Linked DNA regions of Arabidopsis thaliana. The protein of the gene in region 3 interacts with the protein of the main gene of each other region in a pairwise test. Each region holds a gene or a part of one and is shown on either strand. Other genes may lie near its edges.

Region 1 (4,355 bases), 5.2 Mb from region 3:
AATTTTGCTAGAGACTTGGTTGGAACCCTAGAGAGTATTTCAGATTCCAAATCGTCCGGAAGATCGGAGATCATCATTGTCTTTCTCGTTGTTGCTGATCTGATCACTTGTGGAAGAAAGCGTACAGTATATTTAAGTGTATATAGAAATTAGGGTTTTCGTTACAATAAGCCCATACCATTTATTGAAAACCTTATTATGTGTTGTTAAAAAGCCCATTACCTCCACTGATCTTCTTTTATGTTTTTAGCATATATACTAGAAACTTGGGTCTCAAGCTCTTGGGTTGTACGGTTGTACCCTCTTTTTCTTTTGGATTTGAGTTGTTACAATTTTTCCTATCATCATCACTCCTCAACAAGTTAGATGCAAATGATTCTTAGCTATTTTCTTTTAGAGTGTTCATCAAACATTTCTTCATCTTTTACAAATAGAAAGTTTTCTTCAAAGGTATTGAATAGTTTAGTACGTCATTTCCTTTATAATTTTTTCATCCTCTTTCCTTAGGTCTTGTTCACCTAGTACCAAACCCTTTTTGGCTTCTTCATAAAAATGATGGCATTGCAAAACTCAATTTGTATTTGCTAGATTCGGATTTTCGCAGAACTTACCCTCGGGATTTTAAAGGTAGAAGTGTTGTGATTTAGCCGTATTTATTAGTAATACATACAATATTTTTATTTTTATTTTTTTGGTTAAAAAGCTAGTACATTATTATCACCAAAACCGTTTAATATTGTAGTCTACGGACAGCTTCCAAACTGCTGAATGGATGACGCAATTCATTGCAGTTCAGACACACGAAGTCTCCCTTGACCTGAAACAACAACCATGTAAATGAAAGTGATGAGACAGACTAAGCAGAATGCACAAACCTGTAGACCGAGGTACTTTAGAAACCCTTTAGGATCTTTCAAGTACTTTGGCAATCATAATGTCTAAATGGCTTTACCATGGAATTCATTATGTATAGTATTAAAAAAATCATTATATCAATAAATAGAAACAACTACTTATGACTAAGCTCGAACAAAGGAACATCAATAAAACCAGAAGATAAAGAAAAATCATGAAAATCCTGATGTAAAACTAAGAGTTTTTCTTTCCCAACAACTGATAGAGCTGCAATATCTTCACGATTAAAACTCTTAAACGAAAGAGGAAAACGTGGTTCTATCAGTTGTTGGAAAAGACAAACTGTCGCTGTTACATCAGAAGATATTAAAGCTATGGCCAGAAGATTTTAAACCCTAGAGTTCCGATTCTAAATCGTCCGGAAGATCGGAGATCATCATTGTCTTTCTCATCTCATCCCTCGAGGAAGAAAGCGTTGCGTATATGTGTATAAAAATTAGGGTTTTCGTTACAATAAGCCTAATCGATTTATCTAAAAGCCCATTAGAAAGCCCATTAGCTTCACAAAATGTATTTTAACCCGATTTAAAATTTCGTTTGGGCCAAAGCCATCTTAACCCGACCCATATTAACATCACTGCTTACGCAAACACAACAAGATTTGGAGATTTGTCGTTAAACAAATTTCGCCGACCTACGTATGAGCCGTCGCCTCCAATATAAACCAAAGCCATCCCTAATCCTCGAATTCTTCCTCTCTGAGTTTTTATTCTGAGATAGAGAAAGATGTCAGGTTTAGCTTGTAATTCGTGTAACAAAGACTTCGAAGACGACGCTGAGCAGAAGTTTCACTACAAATCCGAATGGCACCGTTACAATCTCAAGCGCAAGGTTAGAATTCAATCTCTTGTGTTTTCGTTTCGCGATTAAGTTCGTCTATGGTTTATGGATTTGATTTTGGTTCTTCTAGTTCATGATTAGTTTGGTTTTGAAATGTTTATAGATAGCTGGTGTTCCTGGAGTAACAGAGGCACTATTTGAAGCTAGACAAGCTGCTATAGCTCAAGAGAAGGTTAAAGCTGTTGAAGCACCGATGCTTTATAGTTGTGGAATCTGTAACAAAGGTTACAGGAGTTCCAAGGCTCATGAGCAGCATCTTAAGTCGAAGAGTCATGTTTTGAAGGCTTCGACGAGTACTGGAGAGGAGGATAAAGCGATCATCAAGCAGCTTCCGCCTCGTCGTGTTGAGAAGAATAACACTGCTCAATTGAAGGGTTCGATTGAGGAGGAAGAGAGTGAAGATGAATGGATTGAGGTTGATTCGGATGAGGATTTGGATGCGGAAATGAATGAGGATGGTGAAGAAGAAGATATGGATGAAGATGGTATTGAATTTGAGTTGGATCCGGCTTGTTGTTTGATGTGTGATAAGAAGCATAAGACTATAGAGAAATGTATGGTTCATATGCATAAGTTTCATGGGTTCTTCATTCCTGATATTGAGTACTTGAAGGATCCTAAAGGGTTTCTGACCTACCTCGGTCTAAAGGTTTGTGCTTTGTGCTTAGTCTGTCTTAGATCTTTGTTTTTCTTTGCTACTTAGTACTTACATGGTTGTTGTTTCAGGTCAAGAGAGACTTCGTGTGTCTGTACTGCAATGAATTGTGCCATCCATTTAGTAGTTTGGAAGCTGTTCGTAAGCATATGGACGCCAAAGGTCATTGCAAAGTGCATTATGGTGATGGTGGTGATGAAGAAGATGCAGAACTTGAAGAGTTCTATGACTACAGCAGCAGGTTCCATTTCTTCTGCTTTCTCCTCTGTTGTTGGTGTCTAAATGTGCTTGAACTAATTGTGTCTTCTTTTGATGTGTGTTTGTACAGCTATGTCAATGGAGACGAAAATCAGATGGTTGTGTCCGGTGAGTCAGTGAACACTGTAGAGCTTTTTGGTGGGTCTGAGCTTGTGATCACCAAGAGAACCGATAACAAAGTAACGTCTAGGACTCTTGGGTCTCGAGAATTCATGCGCTACTACAAACAGAAGCCAGCACCGTCTTCTCAGAAGCATATTGTCAACTCTCTAACCTCCAGGTTTGTCTTTAACCGATCAGAGATCATTTATCACTGTCTCTGTGTAGAATTTGAATCTGACGTGAATGGGTCTTAAAACACAGGTACAAGATGATGGGTCTAGCAACAGTGCAGTCAAAGGAGGCCATAGTGAGGATGAAGGTGATGAGAGAGATGAACAAAAGAGGAGCGAAAAGCAGTGTCAGGCTCGGAATGAAGAGCAACGTCATCAGGAATCTGCCCAACAATGTCACCTATTAGTCTTGCTCCTCGATTTTCAGGTCTCTCCTCTTTGTTTGATTTTGTGACCAGAGTTTTGGTGAGTAAATCTATCTAAGTTTTTCACTAGTACTCAAGTATCTTAGGCCCATTTGGGTCTCTGTTTTGTCTGATTTAGTCTTTTGAAAATGTTACGTTTTGGCTGAGTTTGTATCTCTTGCCCAGTGCTTTGTACACTCTACATTAATCTATATTTCATTTGGTAGAAGATCAAGAGCTAATCAATCTTTATCTGCTAAATCATAAATCTAGTACACTTTTCACTTATCTATACATTTGTTTTAGATAACGAATGCTCTCGACTTCACTTTCTCTAGCTATCTTGATAAATTGTATAAAGGTAAATGCACAGGTCGATTTACGAGTTCCTCACAAACCGCGAGTAAATCTCGACACGAATATCTTGCATCATCCACTATATCTCTTTATTATTTATCACTCTATTGCTCTCTCTTACAGGCACTACTGTTTCAAAAGAGAGAGGAACAAGTTTAAAGCCTAACTCTTTCCAAAGTCCAACAGCCCAACTTCACAGGAGCCCATCGAAATCATAAGTCTTCTAAACCGGAAAGCTTTTGAGTCGAATAAACTGAACTGAGAGTAAACCGGAGAACTGAATTTATTAAAAAGTAATTATATTATAGATTTACCTCGCCCTAATTGGCGGGAAGCTCTAATCAAAATTGGAGGGAAAATCCCCCAAAAATTCTTTCGTCGCTATTAAAATTCCCCCAAAATCTTCTCTTCCCTTTACTTTGATCACTTTTCAACTTCCTAAATCTCTTCACAGTTACTTTCGATTTTCCGATTTCGTAGCTTCGAAAATGTTCTCCAGCAGCCAATTCGAGCCTAATTCCGGCTTCTCCGGCGGCGGATTCATGTCTTCTCAACCTTCTCAAGCCTACGAATCCTCCTCCTCCACCGCTAAGGTAATATAATCCATCTTCCATTTCGTTCAATTCCACCGATTAGGCTACAGATCGAAAGTTTCCGAATCGCTAAACGTTTCTCTGTAACAATCGATTTTGGAATTGCTAAATCTGCTCTGTATATGTTTTGTGGGAATATGCAGAATCGTGATTTTCAAGGTCTTGTTCCAGTGACGGTGAAGCAAATCACCGAATGTTTCCAATCCAGTGGTGAAAAATC
Region 2 (5,790 bases), on a different chromosome or scaffold from region 3:
GATGAGGCAAAGGGTCGGCTCTTGTAGCTCCAATGAGAAGGGTCAGACACATTTTGGACGGTGACATGTATCAACCCCACTCACTCTCTTCTTTATTCACTCATTTTTTTTGTTAGTCTTCTTGTGTGCTAATGTATGGTCAATTTGAAATTAGCACTGATGTTGACTTTTTAAAATATTTTCATATGAACGAGCTGGTTCATGTACCATGCCAACATATGTTTTTCAAATAAATTAATCGAATTAGATTCTTGTTGTGACTGAGAGTATTTTCGATCAACATAAACCATTCAAATTAACGTCATATCAAACACTATTATGAAATGAGTGGTACAATCATTGAATCGCTTGCTTCCAACCCCTCAAAAAGAAAAAGTCTGTGTGCATATAATTGATATCAACTACAAGTTGAAATACAAACCACAAATTATGAGTAGACACATTCGAATAAATTCATAATAGAAGGCTGCTACCATAATAGAAGGATTGTCCCTTGTTGCTGACCATGAATACCGAACAACTTAAATTTCAAGTAGAGATGGATTATTTGGGGATTCGGAAGAAGAAGTCTACTCAGATTATTAAGAAATCATCATTGTCCAAAGAAAAAGAAAAACACCATAAACTAAGTTAAAGACACAAAAACCATAAACTAAGTAAACAAAAAAAAACTGCTAAAATAGTAAAGGAAGACTAAAACCCAAAAAAGAAAAGAAAAGGAGTCGATATCAAAACTAAAAGAAGAAAACAGAGTTGAGCAAACGCATTGCAAATTTCAGTCGGTGGTAGAGAAACCAAGATCATGATCAGTTGGATCAACAGATAGCCTGAGAACATCCAAAGCCTCGGATACTTTAGACTTGAGTGCCTCTGGTGACTCCATCAGGTGCAAGATCTCAGCTTGATCCATCTCCAACAACATTCCTGTGACTTTAGCCACGTGAAGTGGTTCGTGCCTTTCCACAAGTGGGTACAGTTGTTCTCCAAGCATCTGTTCCCAACCAATTTTTTAAAAATAAAAATCAGTAAACATATAAATATATAGATATGCCAATCTCTATCAACTATATATTTATGTGACTTTAACTTTTATTTATTTGTTATAAGACCATAATTCTTTCAAACATTTGATGTTAAGAAACAAAATTCACCAAAACATTTTTCAGTTATTCAGGAAATATTTTGTAAGATAAAATGCAAATGTGACTGACCTCTCTTTGCGTTTGGTTTTGCATCAACAATTGAAAACATATGTTTAGAGTTAAGGGTTTATTATTCAAAAGTTATACACCAAATGCAAAAGAAAACGCAAAACAAAGAAATGTTTAGCTGAGATGGAAGGAAAAGAGGCAAACCCGAGTGCGATCAGCTGGACTAGCAGAAGCTAAGGAAGAAGTGAGCTTAGAGATTGGAAGGAGAGGAGCTTTCTGGTGAGAGATCGAAGAAGCATCTATTGGCAAAGGAATGATAGGAGGTAAGATTCCTTGAGGAACACTCGAATCCATTCCGTTCCTCCCGTTACTCGCACCGTTCATATATCTCATTCCCGGGGACGGGTTACGGTGCATAAGCTGTCAATATTCAATCCAACTCAGTTTCATGATTGTTGAAAACTATAAACAGACTCAGTTTAGTAACATACTTGTTGTTGTTGGATGTGTTGTTGCACGTTAGTAGCACCACGCCTGAATCCCATACGAGGACCGGTCTGAGGTTGTCTTTGAAGCGGATAAGGCACGATGAAGTTGCCCGGGCCAGAACCTGGACGCATCCCGGGCATGAACTGAGGCTGGAATCCATATCCAATGGGCTGGGACGGGACCATACTTGCTCCGTTTTGGCCTACGTACATGTGTTGAGGTGGACCGGGCATTGGTCCACCTGGCGGGTGATGGAACCCTGACATTGGCCCTGGTGCTCTAATCTGTGAAAACAACGCCTGAAAAAATTGCAAACTTATGTACTTAGTCACACATATAGCTTTAACAAACCCATTTCTTTTAAATATGTTAAAAGAGTTTTTAAAAAACCTGTAAGTGTGCTCGTCTATCTTCTTTGCGCTGCGCAAGAGCTATGTATAGAGGTTTTCTTCCGATCATCTTCCCATTCATTTCACTCAGCTGCATTGTCTCATATGTAACAATCTCTCAGATATCAAAAGAGACGAACAATAAAAGAAGAATATATTATAGTTTTAGTAACTCACGGCTCTTAAAGCTTCTTCAGGATTGGAATAAGCAACAAAACCAAATCCTCTGCTCATTCCTTGTGGATTAAGCATAACCTACATTAGTTAAAGGATTGTGTCAAAGACAACGTAACATCAACAACATATATATTTATGAATATATGTATGAGTTTTTAATTAATTATTACCTTGGAGGATGTCACATTTCCATACTCAGAGAACATCTCCTTGAGTTTCTCATCATCAACACTATCATCAAGATTCTTCAAATACAGGTTCGCTCCTTGAGATTTCTCAAACCGGTTTATCCTCTCTTGCTCAAACTTCCTTCTTAGCTCTTCCTCTCTCTCAGACTTCTTTTGCGCCCTCCCAACGTACAACACATCATCCCCTAAGCTAATTCCATTCATCTTCTCAACCGCCGAAGCCGCTGCTTCAGTGCACTCAAAATTCACAAACCCGAAACACCTCGAGTTTCCGCTCTGGTCCCTCATTACAACTGCGCTCGATATCACTCCAAATTTACCAAACGTTTTTCGTAGCTCGTCCTCACCAATCTCCTTGGGGAGATTCTTGACGTACACGTTAGTGAAACGCGGTGTAGGGGTGTTTTCATCACGAGCACGCTCTTGACGTCTGATGAAGTGTCCCACAAAAACTTGCTTGTCGTTCATTAACATTCCGTTTAGCTTGTCAATTGCGGCTTGAGCCGATTCCTCCTTCTCGAACTGGACAAATCCATACCCCTTGGACCGGCCAGTCACGTCCATTGCAACTTTGCATGAGAGGATGGTTCCAAAACTTGAAAACGTCTCGAACAAGGCCTTGTTGTCGATTGAAGCGTCAAGGTTTTTGATGAAAATGTTTCCTTTGCCGCTCAATCGCGTGCTTGGGTCACGGTTCGAAAGCATGATCCGAATGGGCCTATCAAAGAGGGGAGTGTAGTTCAAGGCCTCCATTGCACGGTAAGCTGCAAACATAAATCAACATATAAACATAGGCAAATAAGATCTCAATTCATTATAGAAAACCAGCATCTATGATATTTATAAATGCACAAATACCTATAGTTTCTACAATTAATGAGATTGAAAGAACAATTTCAAACAAATTTCACGTATTAAATTGAACTAATTAAGAAAAATCATAATATAAGAGACTGATGCATCAACTACTAAAATAAATGTTGTAGCTTTGATATTCAAACGAAACATATCAATGTAGCAGAATCATGGTATAGTAGAGATGAACTACAATATAGAATATTGATTATATGTTAATTTCTAGACAAAAAAAAAGATGATTCGCACAGGAACATGATACTGATCAAAATTAATTACCATGTCTAATAAAAAATTGAGATTGAAAAAAATCAAATCAAAACACTTTTTCTTATTGTAATGCAATTCATGATAATATATATATTTTGTTTTGCAAGACATGAACCCTAACTTGCAATTGAAGCGATATAGAATTGTATTTACCATCGTTAGGGTTACTGAAATTGATGTAGGCATATCCCAAAGATCGACGATTCTGATCGCGGCAAACTCTTACCGAGACGACATTAGCAACATGTTTGAACAAATCAAATAGATGTGCTTCAGTAACTTTCGGGTCCAGATCACCGGCATAGAGCGACGAGTTCGGGTGGGTTTGATCGGCTACCACGACCGGGGATGGAAGAGGTATTGAAACCGGAACCTGAACCGAAGTCTGCGCCGTCGGACTGGGAACTTGATCAACCATTGTCGCCGGTGCAACACCTGTGGCAACCGCCGCCGCCATGATTATGAGTTTACTTTTTACAAGACGATTTGTTATTTTCGTCTCGTGAAAGGAAACAAAATCACTGATTCTAAAAAAACAAAGATTCGATGATTTGTTTCTGTAAGGGTTTTAAGTGAGAAAGAGATTTTCTGTAAACAACATGACTCGAGGATTTGTTTCTTCACAATTTTTGATTTATTTATTTTTTAGGAATTTTATTCTTATTTAGATTTTTTTTTTTCCTTTTTTAGTTTCCTCCGATTATCAAGAAGAGTAAAGAGGGATAAAATTGAATTAGTGTGATGAGTGTGGATGCATATTTATACATAACTAGCTAAGCCTATAAAACCGAGCAATTAACAATTTAGTATAAATAAAATGTCACTTGATTTTACTATTAATAGCTAATTGAATATTTCATGAATCTTTGATAATAAGAATTGGTCGCAGTTTTAAATTATGTTTGCCTTTATTTCTTTTTTTATTACATGAGGTTTTATTTTAGTTACACTTATCGAGCATGTGCTAATTTTGTTTTCTATATCGAAAGCAACATTAAATTTATTTATTCATAAAAAAATGCATGCTTCTAAGGCTTATAAGCACACAAATCTAATTAATTTCTAATAATATAACTAATGAGGTCTTAAGAGCTAAAATTTAATAAATTGATTTAACATTTACTTTGGATAAAAATTGTGATTTTTTATTTATGTTTTTGATTAGAGTAAAGACGAACAACTAATTTTTCAGAGCAAAATTTGCGGCTATTGATTTGGTCATTACTAAGATATCAATCTTATTACTATAAATAGACACATGAAACTATTTTTAGATTCTTTTGACCAGATATTAGATTATGAATTTATGATAAATAAATTGGTAATTTTTTAGTTAGTTGAAATTAAATCAGTTGTATTGTTGATGATGTAAATAGGTTTAGTAATGCTACGAAGTAACTTATTAAAAATCATGGATAATGGAATCTTTTATTTATTTCAATAGACTACAAACCCCTTTAAATATCATACACATATATTGATACACATATATAGATTCAAGTTTTTTATTAGGGATAAAATTGAATTAGTGTGAAGAGTGTGGATTAATATTTATACTTAACTAGCTAAGCCTATAAATCCGAACAATTAACAATTTAGTATAGGGAAAGTGTCACTTGATTTTTACTATTAATAGCTAATTGGTGTTTCATAAATCTTTGATAATAAGAATTGGTCGCAGTTTTGAATTATGTTTGCCTTTATCGCTTCTGTTTTTTACATAAGATTTTATTTTAGTTACACATATCAAGAATTTGCTAATTTCATTTTCTATACCGAAATCAATACTAAATTTATTTATTCATAAAAAATGCATGCTTCTAAGGCTTTTAGGCACACAAATCTAATTATTTTCTAATAGTGTAACCACTGAAGTCTTAGGAGGTAAAATTTAATAAATTTATTTAACATTTACTTAGAATAGAAATTGTAATTGTTTTTTTTTTTTTATGTTTTTGATTGGAGTAAAAGATGAACAGCTAATTTTTGGGAGCATAACTTGCGGCTATTGATTTGGTCATGACTAAGATATCAATTTTATTACTGTAAACAGAAACATGAAACTATTTTTATGAAACTATTTTTAGATTCTTTTGACCAGAATTTGGATTATGATAAATGGATTGATGATTTTTAGTTAATTTACCCATGCCAATTATACTATAGTATCCTCAACTATGCCGGTCAACACTGGTCTTCAACGGAGTAAATTTATTAGTGTACCGGAATTGCATGTCTGTGGTGTTAACTACATGACGTCGTATAGTTCAG
Region 3 (6,344 bases):
GAGATTATCATAGACATAACATCTTTTTGTATATATGCTCCTAAACATTAAGCAGTTCAAACTATACTCAAAGGCCAACCTTAGCTATGCAGAGTGGGCACAAGGAGACATCGTGCCTACATTCGATGAGTACTTGGAGATTGGTGGTGTTGAGGTGTCAATGTATGTAACTGTTTCATGCAGTTTTCTTGGGTTGGTACAAACTGCTAGAAGAAAAAGTTATGAGTGGCTTAAATCCAGACGGCCAAGTCAGTGAACGAAGTGTACTTGAAGTCAAGGAAGATAATATCAGGCGATATCTTATCACGGGCCACTAATGCTGGAAAAATGATAGATGTGACCTACAGGACCGGTGAAGAATTCACCCATCCACAAGGAAAATTCAAGGACTATATCATCTCTTTATTTGTCAATCTTATTTCTCTTTGAAGATGAAATACCATATAGTGTGAAGTGTTGTGTAACTATTTGCATCTGTAACAAATCCAGATTTTCCAAAGAGAGCCTTTTCCAATAATTAACATATATATTAACCCTTGAGAAAGATCCTGGACTTTCTTCTATTTACAACTATTAATCACTAAGAAAACTTAATGTTATATTCTGTCACATATTTTTCTTCCTTTCGAAAGACAAATGAATATAACATGCACACATAAAAGATAACCTATAATTTATGATGAGTTCTTAGAAGCATCAGGTAAAGCAGGGGATTTGCAAATAGGGCAAGAGTTCTTCATAGACAACCATTTCTTGATGCACCTCCCATGGTAGTCATGACCACACCCCTTAACTTCCCCTAACTCTTCTTTTTCCTTGTACTCCTCCTATTTGTTTACCAATTACCACATCACCCTTAAGTTAGCCTACTTCTAACTTTATAGACACATAATGTTTCAGACAACTAAATCTTACCAGGTTGTGAAAAAAAAAAAAAAAACTAAATCTTACCAGGCAGATTGCACATTTTCTTTGCTCCTCTGTTTGATATGATGGATAATACATTGTTGCTAACAAGCAACTGGAGATTGCGCTGTCGGATAGACCAGTGTTGACACTCCCAATCCTTTCTCCAAGATCAAGGAGTTCCTGCATATATATGTCAGTACCAAAACTTTTCGTTTTGCCTATGTGAGGCTTCAAAAGATAAGTGTTTGGCTATTAACCTCATAGCTCATGTTATCGATGTCAAGCCTCATGTCTCTGTGGTGATCAAGCATGTTTCTGGATCCGTAGTATTGTGGTTGGCGATCTTCAACCATGAATTCCTATTATTACATACACCCCAAAAAATAACAGATTACAGTTCAGCATGCAGCAGAAAATGATAAGATTGCAAATCTATATCTTAATATTCGATATGCACTGTATCATATCGGCTTGATCTTTATCTTAATACTAAATGTAATTTAGACAGACTTCCACTCTAAATAATGCATCTGTAAGGGAAATATATACCTCAGATGAAAACCGTTCGTGGAGAGCAACTTCATCGAAAGGAGGCTGAAACCTCTCATAGGAACTTCTGCGTCTCCCTGGCCGATCACCGCTACGCCATGAAATGTGTGGTGGTGGCCTTAAATGCCTAGACGGATAAGTCTCAGTGACCAAATGAGACCTGTCTCCAGAAGAAGATGCTACATGTCCCGATCGCGAACCGTGTGAAGAAGATCTATAGGTGGATGTTGACCTATGAGAGAAGCGGCTGCTGCTTGTAGATAGTGTTGAAGTTCCAGGAACCCCGTGGGAAACTGTAGGGTTTCTGTTTCCGGTAAGCTCATGGTGATGATAGCCGGAAGTATTAACAGATAAGCTGTTGACAACACTTCTTGCAGGAAGGAAATTATTTGTCTCTGGACTAAAGCCATTTATATCTGCAAAGTGGGAATTAATGTGATTATTAGAAACAAAGACGATTCAGATATCGAGACAAAGTGAACTTTGCATACCTCTAAGAACTGGGGACAATCTAGCACAGTTCCAGTCTTTATTTCCGTGAGATGTCTGACCAGGAAATTGACCTGAGCCATAATGATCAACACTGTGGTGGTGTGTAGAATGAGAATCAAGGCTCAAGCTTCTTGGCAAATTATTTCTACCTAAGCTGGTCTCTGAATCAAGTGTAGGACGACTCCGGACATTCCTTGAAGAGCTCTCTCCCCTGATCGAGAGATTATTACTTCTGTAAGTTGGGTTCATAAGCCATGGCATGTAATGAGGGTCATGATCATGCGTTATTGATTTTCCCAAGTGCAATTCCGAGGGGAAATGAGTGTCTGCAGGAGTTCTGTCACCGTGATATTGGCTTGAACTACCCATTTCATAGATGGAAGAAGGACATGGTCGTTTTCTCTTTTGTGCTCCTCTCACACTTTCCATAGATTGATGATCAACATAACTAGCATTTGACCATGTCTGGCTGTTGTAGCTTGAAGAAGATGCAAATGTCACATAATTCTCATGTGGAGCAGAGAAAGTTGGAACTGTTGAATTCACGGAAGGATCATGGGACGGCCCCGAAACCCCCGGATTGTAGTGTGGTCTCTCCACACTATGACCTGAGTCAGTATAAGCATTTGGTCCTGGAGAAGAGTTCCAATGAGAAGACACTGGCATTCCTTCATTCAACATGTTTTCTGCTGGATAAACATGTGATCTGTTCTCACTGGTCCCAGATGTTGCTGAGAAAATGTGGGATGGACAATAATTAATCAGAAATATGGAACATATTACCCTAAAACTAAACATGCATCATCAACCAAATTTCAATAAATAAAAAACAGATTAAGGAACTATAGAATGAAGGACTAATTACCTTGACTCGAATATGGATGTTCTGGGTGTGTATGATTCCAGCCTTGATCATGTTCATCATCAAAAAACTGGGATGAACCAAGAAAATGTCTGTGCCCCATTAAACCTGCACAAAAATTTCTCTCACCATTCAAAATCCCAGGAAAACATCCGCAAGCTCAGAAAAAAAAAAAATCTATAATTTCCAACCAACATAGTTTACTTTCAGTCTGATAGCCAAATTTCCCAAGTAAATATATAAGAAATCAGTCCATAGTTTCAAGCTCTAGTACCATTACCTTTGTAACATGTACCTACCATATTATATACCTCAGATCTCATGATATCATAAGCAAACAAGTTTTTGTGGACTTAGGCTCTGTGCTGCAGGAAAGTTCATGATGCTTATACATGAAAAATAAACCTTAATAGTACAGATCTTTTAGTTCATAAGAAAAACTTACATAGAAGAGTTTGTCAATAACAACAGACATACTTCTTTTAAACCAAAAGAAAAGAGAGGCAGAAAACAAGCACGGTTGGGAAACTAAGAAGCCTTTGCATTTAAAGTATCACTAAGGTTCTCGACTCTCCAAACCAGAGCCATCAAAAGTGAAGAGTAATACAAGGAGTTCATCAAATTACACACTTTCAAAAAGTCTATAGAATTTACAGAAAAGTCTATAGGAAACTGATTAGGAAATAGAAGAGGATGAAAGAATAAGGCACGATGGCAAATTATCATATACTGTATCCGCATAAAAGAGCATCAGAGCAAGTTCATGCAAAATAGGTAACACTTGATATCATCTTTTCAGTTTCTATCAATGTACTACTTCTTCGTTTATATTCAAGTAAAGGCCTTGTACATGTATTTCACTAAACTTACAACCATAGATGACATGAGCAAGAAAATTACATGGAAAATCCAATAGCAGGACTTAAGCTTAAAATATTTTTCTGAACCGAAACCCTCAAAAGTGCACCTGCAGGCAAATAATCCTAGAAGGATATAGGTTTAGAAAGTCCTAACCACGAATACACTACACTACCCAAGTGATAAAGCCGTCGTGCTTGATTGATCACTGATTCATCATTTCTGCACACCTTTAAAGTAGACCAACAGGAAGCAATTAGGCCCTTGACTTCACTAATACAATGAGAACACCAAATTCTATTCCTTCTCCTCTGATCCACAAATTGAATACACTACAGTTTCCTTAGATAAACGGATTTAGTCCACAAAAGTACTAGCCTGCAAAGGCTTACTACCTCATTTACTATTTCTGCGCTCTTATTGTCTTCAAACCCACCAGCACACCTTAATAGACTCCTGAATTCGGGCTTGTGTGAAAGGATGCTTTCTTAAAATTAGCATTATGTTTCACATCATTGTGCATCCAAATCAAATGCTTGTACGTGACAGCATGTCACTCTAGAAACCATTATATGATAGATGTAGTTTGTTAGGAAGATTGAAGTTCCCCACTCATGGATACCGTACCTCAAGCATCTTCAACTGACTAAACACACTCTGGTACACATGTGATGGCAGAGACTAGTTATGGTTATTTCCTTACCCCTATGGATCAGAATAACTTCTAGATGACTTGAGTTCAAGTTCGCTTTGCTTTCCCAATCAACCAAGAAGGTCCACAACACAATCCGCAAATCAGAATACATCAAGGATAGGCCAGCCACCAATCCTAATGGGCTAACATGAGGAACTAACATCTGTTTGAAATGTGTTATCAATGCAATTTCTTTAAGAATGATGCCATAATTTCAAAGTTTCTAAAAGTTCTCAAAGAGGAAGATGAATTCTGACCTGAAACTATAGCCGTACTAGTTCTCAAATCTTCCAAACACTTGAATCACTGATTAGGCTTTTCTCCAGTTTCTCAACTACCAGAGGTTCGTGGTGGAGAAAGGTATGATAGAACTAGAAACCACCATTGCCACTAAACCTGCAGCCTGCAGGATACAAACCAGCTAAGCCTAGGTTATGCTAATACACTATATCCCAAACTAGCTTACCCGCATCGCTGAAGTAGCAGCCTGAACAACATTATCAACAGCTAACCAAAACACAAAGCTTACAACATCTCCTCTAATCACCGAGCTGGTCTCTTCTCAGTATCGGAATCTTAAAAAGCTAACAACTACGTGAAAGAGAACAAATTCGAAGTCTGAAATTATCAGAACCGACTCCGGTTAACGGACATGATCGCGATCATACCCGAAGATTGTGGGAAAAGTCACCGATGTAGCAGCAAAACCGGGAATAAACCGGATTAAACCGAAAAAAAGAAACAATCCATCATCACACAATCACAAGAGAAAAAAGGAAACAACGATCGGCTTGTTTATACATACCAACACGAAATAATCAGCTCAACGGCGAAACAACAATAATGATCGGAGAAATGAGAAACATTACCAAAGCGTTCCGGCGATGAGAAAAGAAGACCGATCGGAGAAAAGCAAAGAGACGTATGGATTCGTATAGATGACGCAACCTTTTATGAAAAAGAGGTTTTAGAGAGAGAAATATGTTTTGAAGACAAATTGCTTTCTTTTTTGGTGATGGTTGAGCGATGAAGAGTATCGGTTTATATTTAAGAAAAATCAAATTAAAGCGGTTGAGTTACGACGTTGCCGGGACATTAATCCCTTCTCTGACCAACTTCACCGGCTACCGGTAAAACCCGTTCACTGTCTTATTGTCGACTAAACAATTTATTAATTAACTATGGTTCTTCAGTAATGGGCCTATATTTTTGGACTGTACTTGGGCCTCAGCTGTACGTATCAAAAGGGTTCGAGAAACTCAGAGATTAAAGGGATCTTGACCGTTGATCGAGATGACTTTGATTTTATCCATTAATAGTCAATTTGATTGATGAGTTAAGAGGATGATTAAGAAAGCAATAAAGGAAGCGAATCGGAATCCACATTGTATTAATCTTTTTGATCCAGTAGCCATTGGCGAATCCAGGAGTATTAAAGTTCCATTTTGATTTTGGCGACGATGATGAACAGAGTTTAGAGAAATTTGCATTGAAGAAGAGAAGATTTTTGGATTTTGTGTAGTGGGAGAAGGGTAAACCCTAGCTTGGGAGGGACATGATCGGATGCTCTAAGTAGCTTGTGAATTAGAGAAAGAGCAAGTGAGCAAATATGATGAACACTTCGAATGGGATGATCTCTGGGCCTTCTTCTTCGTCAGCTTCGGCGGCGAATCCTCAGTCTCCGGGAATCAAAACGTATTTCAAGACGCCTGAAGGAAAGTACAAGCTCCACTACGAGAAGACGCATCCCTCTGGGCTTCTTCACTACACTCATGGCAAAACCGTTACTCAGGTGAAGATTTGATTCGTTTTCTTTGGTGTTTATTTTTGAATTGAAAGTTTAATCCAATCTGATTTCTTTGCACTTGTGATTGCTATTACGAAATTGCTATTAGGTTTTGTGTAAGAATATCAAATGCACATTTCATTTTTATGTTTTGAAAGTGGTTTCTGAGAATGGATTTGTGAAATTTTGGTGTC
Region 4 (5,061 bases), on a different chromosome or scaffold from region 3:
ATTATGATTGCAATCGTTGTGCGAATATAACCAGCATGGTATATATCACAAGTTTTTAGTTAGTGAATTTTTTAGTTATTTCAAGAGCTTGTTCTGTAGAATAAACCAAAAACTAAAAGAAAATCCATTCTATTCAATACCATAACTTCATGTGTTCACGAAACATCATGGGAACACAGTAAATAGAAAAACAAAATCAATTTATAACTATATATGAATGTTGTCAAATGGGAGTTGACCTCCAATATTATCTTTTATACATTTGAAACTTTAATTTTGACTTTTTTTTAGTAAGATAGTTTTTGTTCATGTCCTGAATGTTAGGTAACAGCTAGCGATTTGAAATAGAAATAAACATTTACAAACCATGTAGTGGTCCAAACCATTGACTCAATTAAAGAGTCAACGCATAATCGAATTTGTAATCTGTGAAGAAGAAGACTCGAATGGTATTGAACTTGATTTGATTTGATTCGTTTTGTGAATCGTATCCCGTTAGTCATTGGATTGTGCAGAGAAAACAAATATTGAAGCAACCTCTAATTAAGTCTACAAAGAAATAGGACACCACAACAAAGGTTGACTTTTACAGAATCACAAAGCCAAAACGATAATCTAGAAAGTAGAGAAACTAGACAGCACAAAACGATAAAAGACCGAGTCTGTCGACCATTACCTTAGTTTTTTTTCATATCGTTAAAAAATAATGTGATATACATGTACGTTAATACTTAATATATACTATTTGACTTGAGATAGCCCTACAAAACTTTTATTCATTTATTTCTCACAAGTTCCCTAAAACTTTATGAACCAATTTGAAGATTAATATTTTGTTACGTTGCTATCAATTTCAAATTCTTTGTAGGTGCTATATTTGAAAACTGGTTTCATACCTAAAAAGGTTATGAACCAAAGACTCAACTTGTCTGGTTATAAATAAAAGTGATTGAAAACACTCACACGGCTAGTGAATTCTCATTAGAAAAATGAAAAGTTCGTTAAATTCGACCAGTGATATAAATATATATACGAAAAACATATGATCATTATGCTTTTTGTCAGGTCCTAGAAATAAATATGTGGAACCCAATTCATTTCAACATTCACGGTAATTTAATTTCCCTTGGCAACATTTAGTCATTTACCGGAATATTCAAACTTCGAATGTTAGGAAATATTTAAGAAGGTAATGGTAAAAAGTAAGAAAAAAAGGACTGGGATCAATAAATGAGAAAAATGGAAGTAGTAGTGGGGCTAAAATTTCTCTATCCAAAATAAATGAAACAGGCGCCGACATTAACAACACCATTCCATTTATAACTCTTTATCCAAATTTTTATTTAGCTGAACCCAATTTACTCTTTCTCTTATCTTCCTCTACTTAATTCTTCTAACAAAGCTCTGTTGCAGATGCTTTCTTTAGAAAAAAATTGGGCCAATATTGTTTATTGAAAAGATCAACAACAGACTGGGTTTTGTTTAAGAAAGAATAGTGATTAGAGAACGAGTCGTTGATGTTCTAATTGACTTGCAAGAATGAAAAAAGATACCAAAAAATTCCTCAAAGAGATATTAAAAAGAAAAAACTTTTTAGACACGGAAAAAGAGAGACTTTTCTCAGAGGAAAAAAACAAGAAAAGAGAGAAACCATAGTAAAAAAAAAAAAAAAACTGTCTGTCCAACGATTTGTTTTTGTTTTTTTGTCTCTGTTCTCTCAATTCTTCTTCTTCTTCTTCTACTTCGCCCCCACGACAAGAAATTCTCCTCTCTATTTCTATCTCATTCTTTCTCTCTCTCTCTATAAAATCTTCAACTTCTGGGTTTATTCTTCCACAATCCCTCGAGTTATAATAACTCTCTGCAAAGAGTTTTACTTTGATTCTTCTGTGGAGGATCTTACACAATTTTCATGGCTTCTTGAATCATGTAATCTTTTCCTTCTCGCCATTTTTCATCTCTACCCGGATCCGTAACCAGCTCTCAGACCAGACCCGGGTTATACCATTTCTCCTCCTTAAAAGTCACACCGCGTTGACCTTCTTCCTCTGGTCTCCTCTCCCATTTTCTTTTAAAGAACTTCACAAAGTTTCAATCTTTTACTTTGGTTCCTCTCTCTCTCTCTGTTTATTAGGGTTCTGGGTTCTGTTGATGATGATTCTCTAACTAATGAGGTAGAGTTATAACCCAAAAATAACAAAAGTAGAGTTAAGTCTTTGAAATTTGGTACCAACAATGGCGAGCCAGACGGGTCAGAAAATTCGGTTGGTGAGGTGTCCCAAGTGCTTGAAGATTCTACAGGAAGACGAAGATGTTCCTGTTTATCAGTGCGGTGGTTGTTCCGCCATTCTTCAAGGTAACTTTCTTTCCATTTCGATTTTGCCTCTGATTATAATGTGAACTCTGTCCCTGAATCTGGCTTTGTTCTACTCCTGGTTGTCCATCTGTTTGGATGTCTGAGCTCAAACCAGTTGTGTTTTGTGGCATGATCTCTTTCATTATTAAATTTGGTTGTTGCTTCTTTGATTCAGCGAAAAGGCGGAACATTGCTCCAAGCAGTACACCAAGTGCAGGAGAGACAGAGAGGGCTCAAGCCAATGAGCCGCAAAGCGTACCTGAAACCAACAATGTGTCCAGCAGCTCGGGGCAGGACACGGTTCTGCCGTCATCTCCAGGTCGTTCCGTGGACCAAGAGTATGAGAAAGGTAGGAATGCATCCATGGAGTCTACGGAGAAGGAGCTTGATGACTTAGAGTTATCTAATGGAGATGGGACAAATGAAATTCAAGAGCAGGAATGTTCACTTGGTGATTCTGAGAAGAATGAAAGAGAAGACAACTCCAGATTGGAGTCTCATATGATGAACACCGTAGCAGAAGCTGCAGGATCTGGATCTAGCTCTGGAAGCTTGAGCGTTGATCATGTGGTGGCTGCAAGAGCGAGTAATCCATCCGGTAACTCTGAGATTTCACCGGATGCTTCCCCCGTAGAAGAGAAGCAAAGCCAACTTGACATTCTTGCAAACAAGACTCCTTCTGCTTATGATGTGGTGGCTGCAAGAGCGAGTAATTCATCTGGCAATGCTGAGATCTCACCTGATGCTTCCCCTGTTGAAGAGAAGCAAAGCCAACTTGATTATCCTGCAAACAAGACTTCTTCTGCTTATGATGGGAGTGAGTCTTCCTCTGACGAAAGGGAAGGCCAACTTCTCGATGATGACGAACAATGGAATGCTCTTCAGAAAATAAGATCAGGCAAATTTGAGATGCATAGATACCCTGGGTATAAGGAGCAAGGCGCTAGTTCCTCCTCCCCTTTCTCTGAGAATAGGCGCAATGGGATTACCACATACAACGAGCGGCATCAGAACAGGTCTCTACAGCTAGAGGGACCAGGAGGGCGCCTTGGCAGACAAGGGAGGAGACATGTGACAGAACAACTTCGGCCTGACATGCCTTTCTATCCGAGAGAATCATACACACGTGGAAGCCCTTCCCATCCGTCACATGATGAGTTTGATCGCTATCCCCGTGCACACTCACTTCAAATGCCTTCATACGCTGGAGGCATGAACCACGATTTTGTTGACTATATGTATCACAACAACCCAAGGGCAAGAGGTCAGGGCCAAGGAAGTAGGATCTCAGGTGAAATGGGAAGAAACCATGGCGGTTGGTATTCAGGTCAGCTTCATAATTCTTACAGTTCATATTCTGCAAGTCCACAGAGACCAATGGAACAACCTGAGTATCATCCGAGATGGAGGCGTGAGATAGTCTCAGACGTGGAGGATCATCAGCGTAATAGACATGCTGGCCACCACCATGAGTTACAGACCCGTCGTCTAAGAGAGAGACAACGTGTGGCCAAGCGTCATGTCCGTCCAACAGCTGGTGGGGCACCTTTTGTTAGCTGTTACAGTTGCTCAGAAAACCTGCAGCTTCCTGTAGACTTTCTCATTTTCAAGAGGAAACATCATCTTCTCAGATGCGGCACTTGCACCACTGTTCTCAGATTCTCACTTCAGTCCAGAAATCATTTAGTTCCTGCAGTAACACATGACATAAATGCTAATAGGAATAGCAATTCAACATCAGAGTCTCCCATAGACAAAGCTCCCTCCAAACCTGAAAAGCTGAGATCCTCTGTTCAGGATGAGGAGCTACCTGTGGCTAGAGGCTCTCCGCTTCACCGACTAATGGGATATTCTACTGTAAGCCAAGTCTTTAAAGTTTCACAGCGTCCTCCTTCTATATAGATCTCTGCTTCAGATGAAGCAACGAGAACTATGAACTTCTGAGAATCTGAGATGGAAAGTTTTGCCATTGTTTGCCATTCTTTATTTCACTTCTGTGTATAGGTAAAAGATTTGTCTCTGCACTTTTGTTTAAAGTAGAAACCATGACACTTGTGAAAAATTATACAAAAAAATAGAAGAAGATATAGTTCATCTGTTGTATATAGTCATGATATGTTTGTAACAAGATTGAATTCATCATCGTTCTTGGCTTGATAATCTACTATAACATTACCACTTGTAAATAAATAAAAAGTTTGAATAGGTTTAGTGAAGTATATTTGCATAAACTTAGTTGAAGCTGTCCTTGTATCCATTCGTCCTCTTGTTGGACGCGATAGAGATCCGCTGATCCTGCAGCATGTTCAGGTTTGGGGCTAATAGTCTTGTGTATCGATCGAAGTACAGAAGTTGCTTCAACAGAAGTGCAAACTCTCTCGGGAACTTAAGACCATATGATTCGCTAACACGCACCTATAAGAAAGTGAACTTATTTTCAACTGCTGAAAGCTCAAATCCTGGGGTTTATCTTAACTCAATGCAACTTCTATATCCTCTTAACAACTTTCAAACCAAAAAAAAATCCTTAAGAAATTACGTCTAACTGCTTACCAGGTCGAGGAAAAGAGCATTCATCTGTCTCTCATCCATAACTACGTTAGCAGCAACAGCAGTAGTGTCTGAATTTGTTCCACGAGCTGTAGCCACTACTATCTCTGTATCTAGTTCCTGCAAGAAGAGATTCACTTTTCTCTATAAGATTA

Evidence for each region.
Region 1: the proteins of AT2G37150 (region 3) and FZF interact in a two-hybrid assay, tested with the Arabidopsis thaliana proteins (one large-scale study listed by BioGRID).
Region 2: the proteins of AT2G37150 (region 3) and PAB3 interact in a two-hybrid assay, tested with the Arabidopsis thaliana proteins (one large-scale study listed by BioGRID).
Region 4: the proteins of AT2G37150 (region 3) and AT5G05190 interact in a two-hybrid assay, tested with the Arabidopsis thaliana proteins (one large-scale study listed by BioGRID).

Annotation. Positions count from the first base shown.
Region 1 is NC_003071.7:10,400,092-10,404,446, reverse strand, and holds FZF (Zinc finger protein 622), read left to right. Parts: upstream 1-1,512; 5' UTR 1,513-1,641; coding exon 1,642-1,746; intron 1,747-1,858; coding exon 1,859-2,404; intron 2,405-2,481; coding exon 2,482-2,651; intron 2,652-2,738; coding exon 2,739-2,948; intron 2,949-3,031; coding exon 3,032-3,188; 3' UTR 3,189-3,817; downstream 3,818-4,355. Other genes in the region: AT2G24510 (F-box associated ubiquitination effector family protein), read right to left, coding at 1-74; RPA2 (replicon protein A2), read left to right, coding at 4,031-4,135, 4,279-4,355. UniProt on the Arabidopsis thaliana protein: Pre-60S-associated factor involved in the cytoplasmic maturation of the 60S subunit. Involved in the dissociation and recycling of other late pre-60S factors before newly synthesized large ribosomal subunits enter translation.
Region 2 is NC_003070.9:8,053,785-8,059,574, reverse strand, and holds PAB3 (poly(A) binding protein 3), read right to left. Parts: upstream 4,251-5,790; 5' UTR 3,977-4,250; coding exon 3,673-3,976; intron 3,159-3,672; coding exon 2,377-3,158; intron 2,285-2,376; coding exon 2,207-2,284; intron 2,121-2,206; coding exon 2,031-2,120; intron 1,940-2,030; coding exon 1,643-1,939; intron 1,572-1,642; coding exon 1,356-1,571; intron 992-1,355; coding exon 776-991; 3' UTR 515-775; downstream 1-514. UniProt on the Arabidopsis thaliana protein: Binds the poly(A) tail of mRNA. Appears to be an important mediator of the multiple roles of the poly(A) tail in mRNA biogenesis, stability and translation. In the cytoplasm, affects both translation and mRNA decay.
Region 3 is NC_003071.7:15,603,074-15,609,417, forward strand, and holds AT2G37150 (RING/U-box superfamily protein), read right to left. Parts: upstream 4,528-6,344; coding exon 4,374-4,527; exon of another isoform or gene 3,136-4,373; coding exon of another isoform or gene 3,093-3,135; exon of another isoform or gene 2,921-3,092; coding exon 2,816-2,920; intron 2,682-2,815; coding exon 1,950-2,681; intron 1,875-1,949; coding exon 1,459-1,874; intron 1,269-1,458; coding exon 1,167-1,268; intron 1,090-1,166; coding exon 952-1,089; intron 828-951; coding exon 675-827; 3' UTR 508-674; downstream 1-507. Other genes in the region: AT2G37140 (Terpenoid synthases superfamily protein), read left to right, coding at 53-256; AT2G37160 (Transducin/WD40 repeat-like superfamily protein), read left to right, coding at 5,974-6,156, 6,260-6,344.
Region 4 is NC_003076.8:1,539,618-1,544,678, forward strand, and holds AT5G05190 (hypothetical protein (DUF3133)), read left to right. Parts: upstream 1-1,600; 5' UTR 1,601-2,235; coding exon 2,236-2,356; intron 2,357-2,531; coding exon 2,532-4,258; 3' UTR 4,259-4,520; downstream 4,521-5,061. Other genes in the region: AT5G05200 (Protein kinase superfamily protein), read right to left, coding at 4,589-4,771, 4,910-5,026. UniProt on the Arabidopsis thaliana protein: Plays a negative role in salicylic acid (SA)-mediated resistance to powdery mildew (e.g. Golovinomyces cichoracearum). May modulate plant immunity by regulating the relocation of EDR1 by interacting with CHC2 and modulating endocytosis.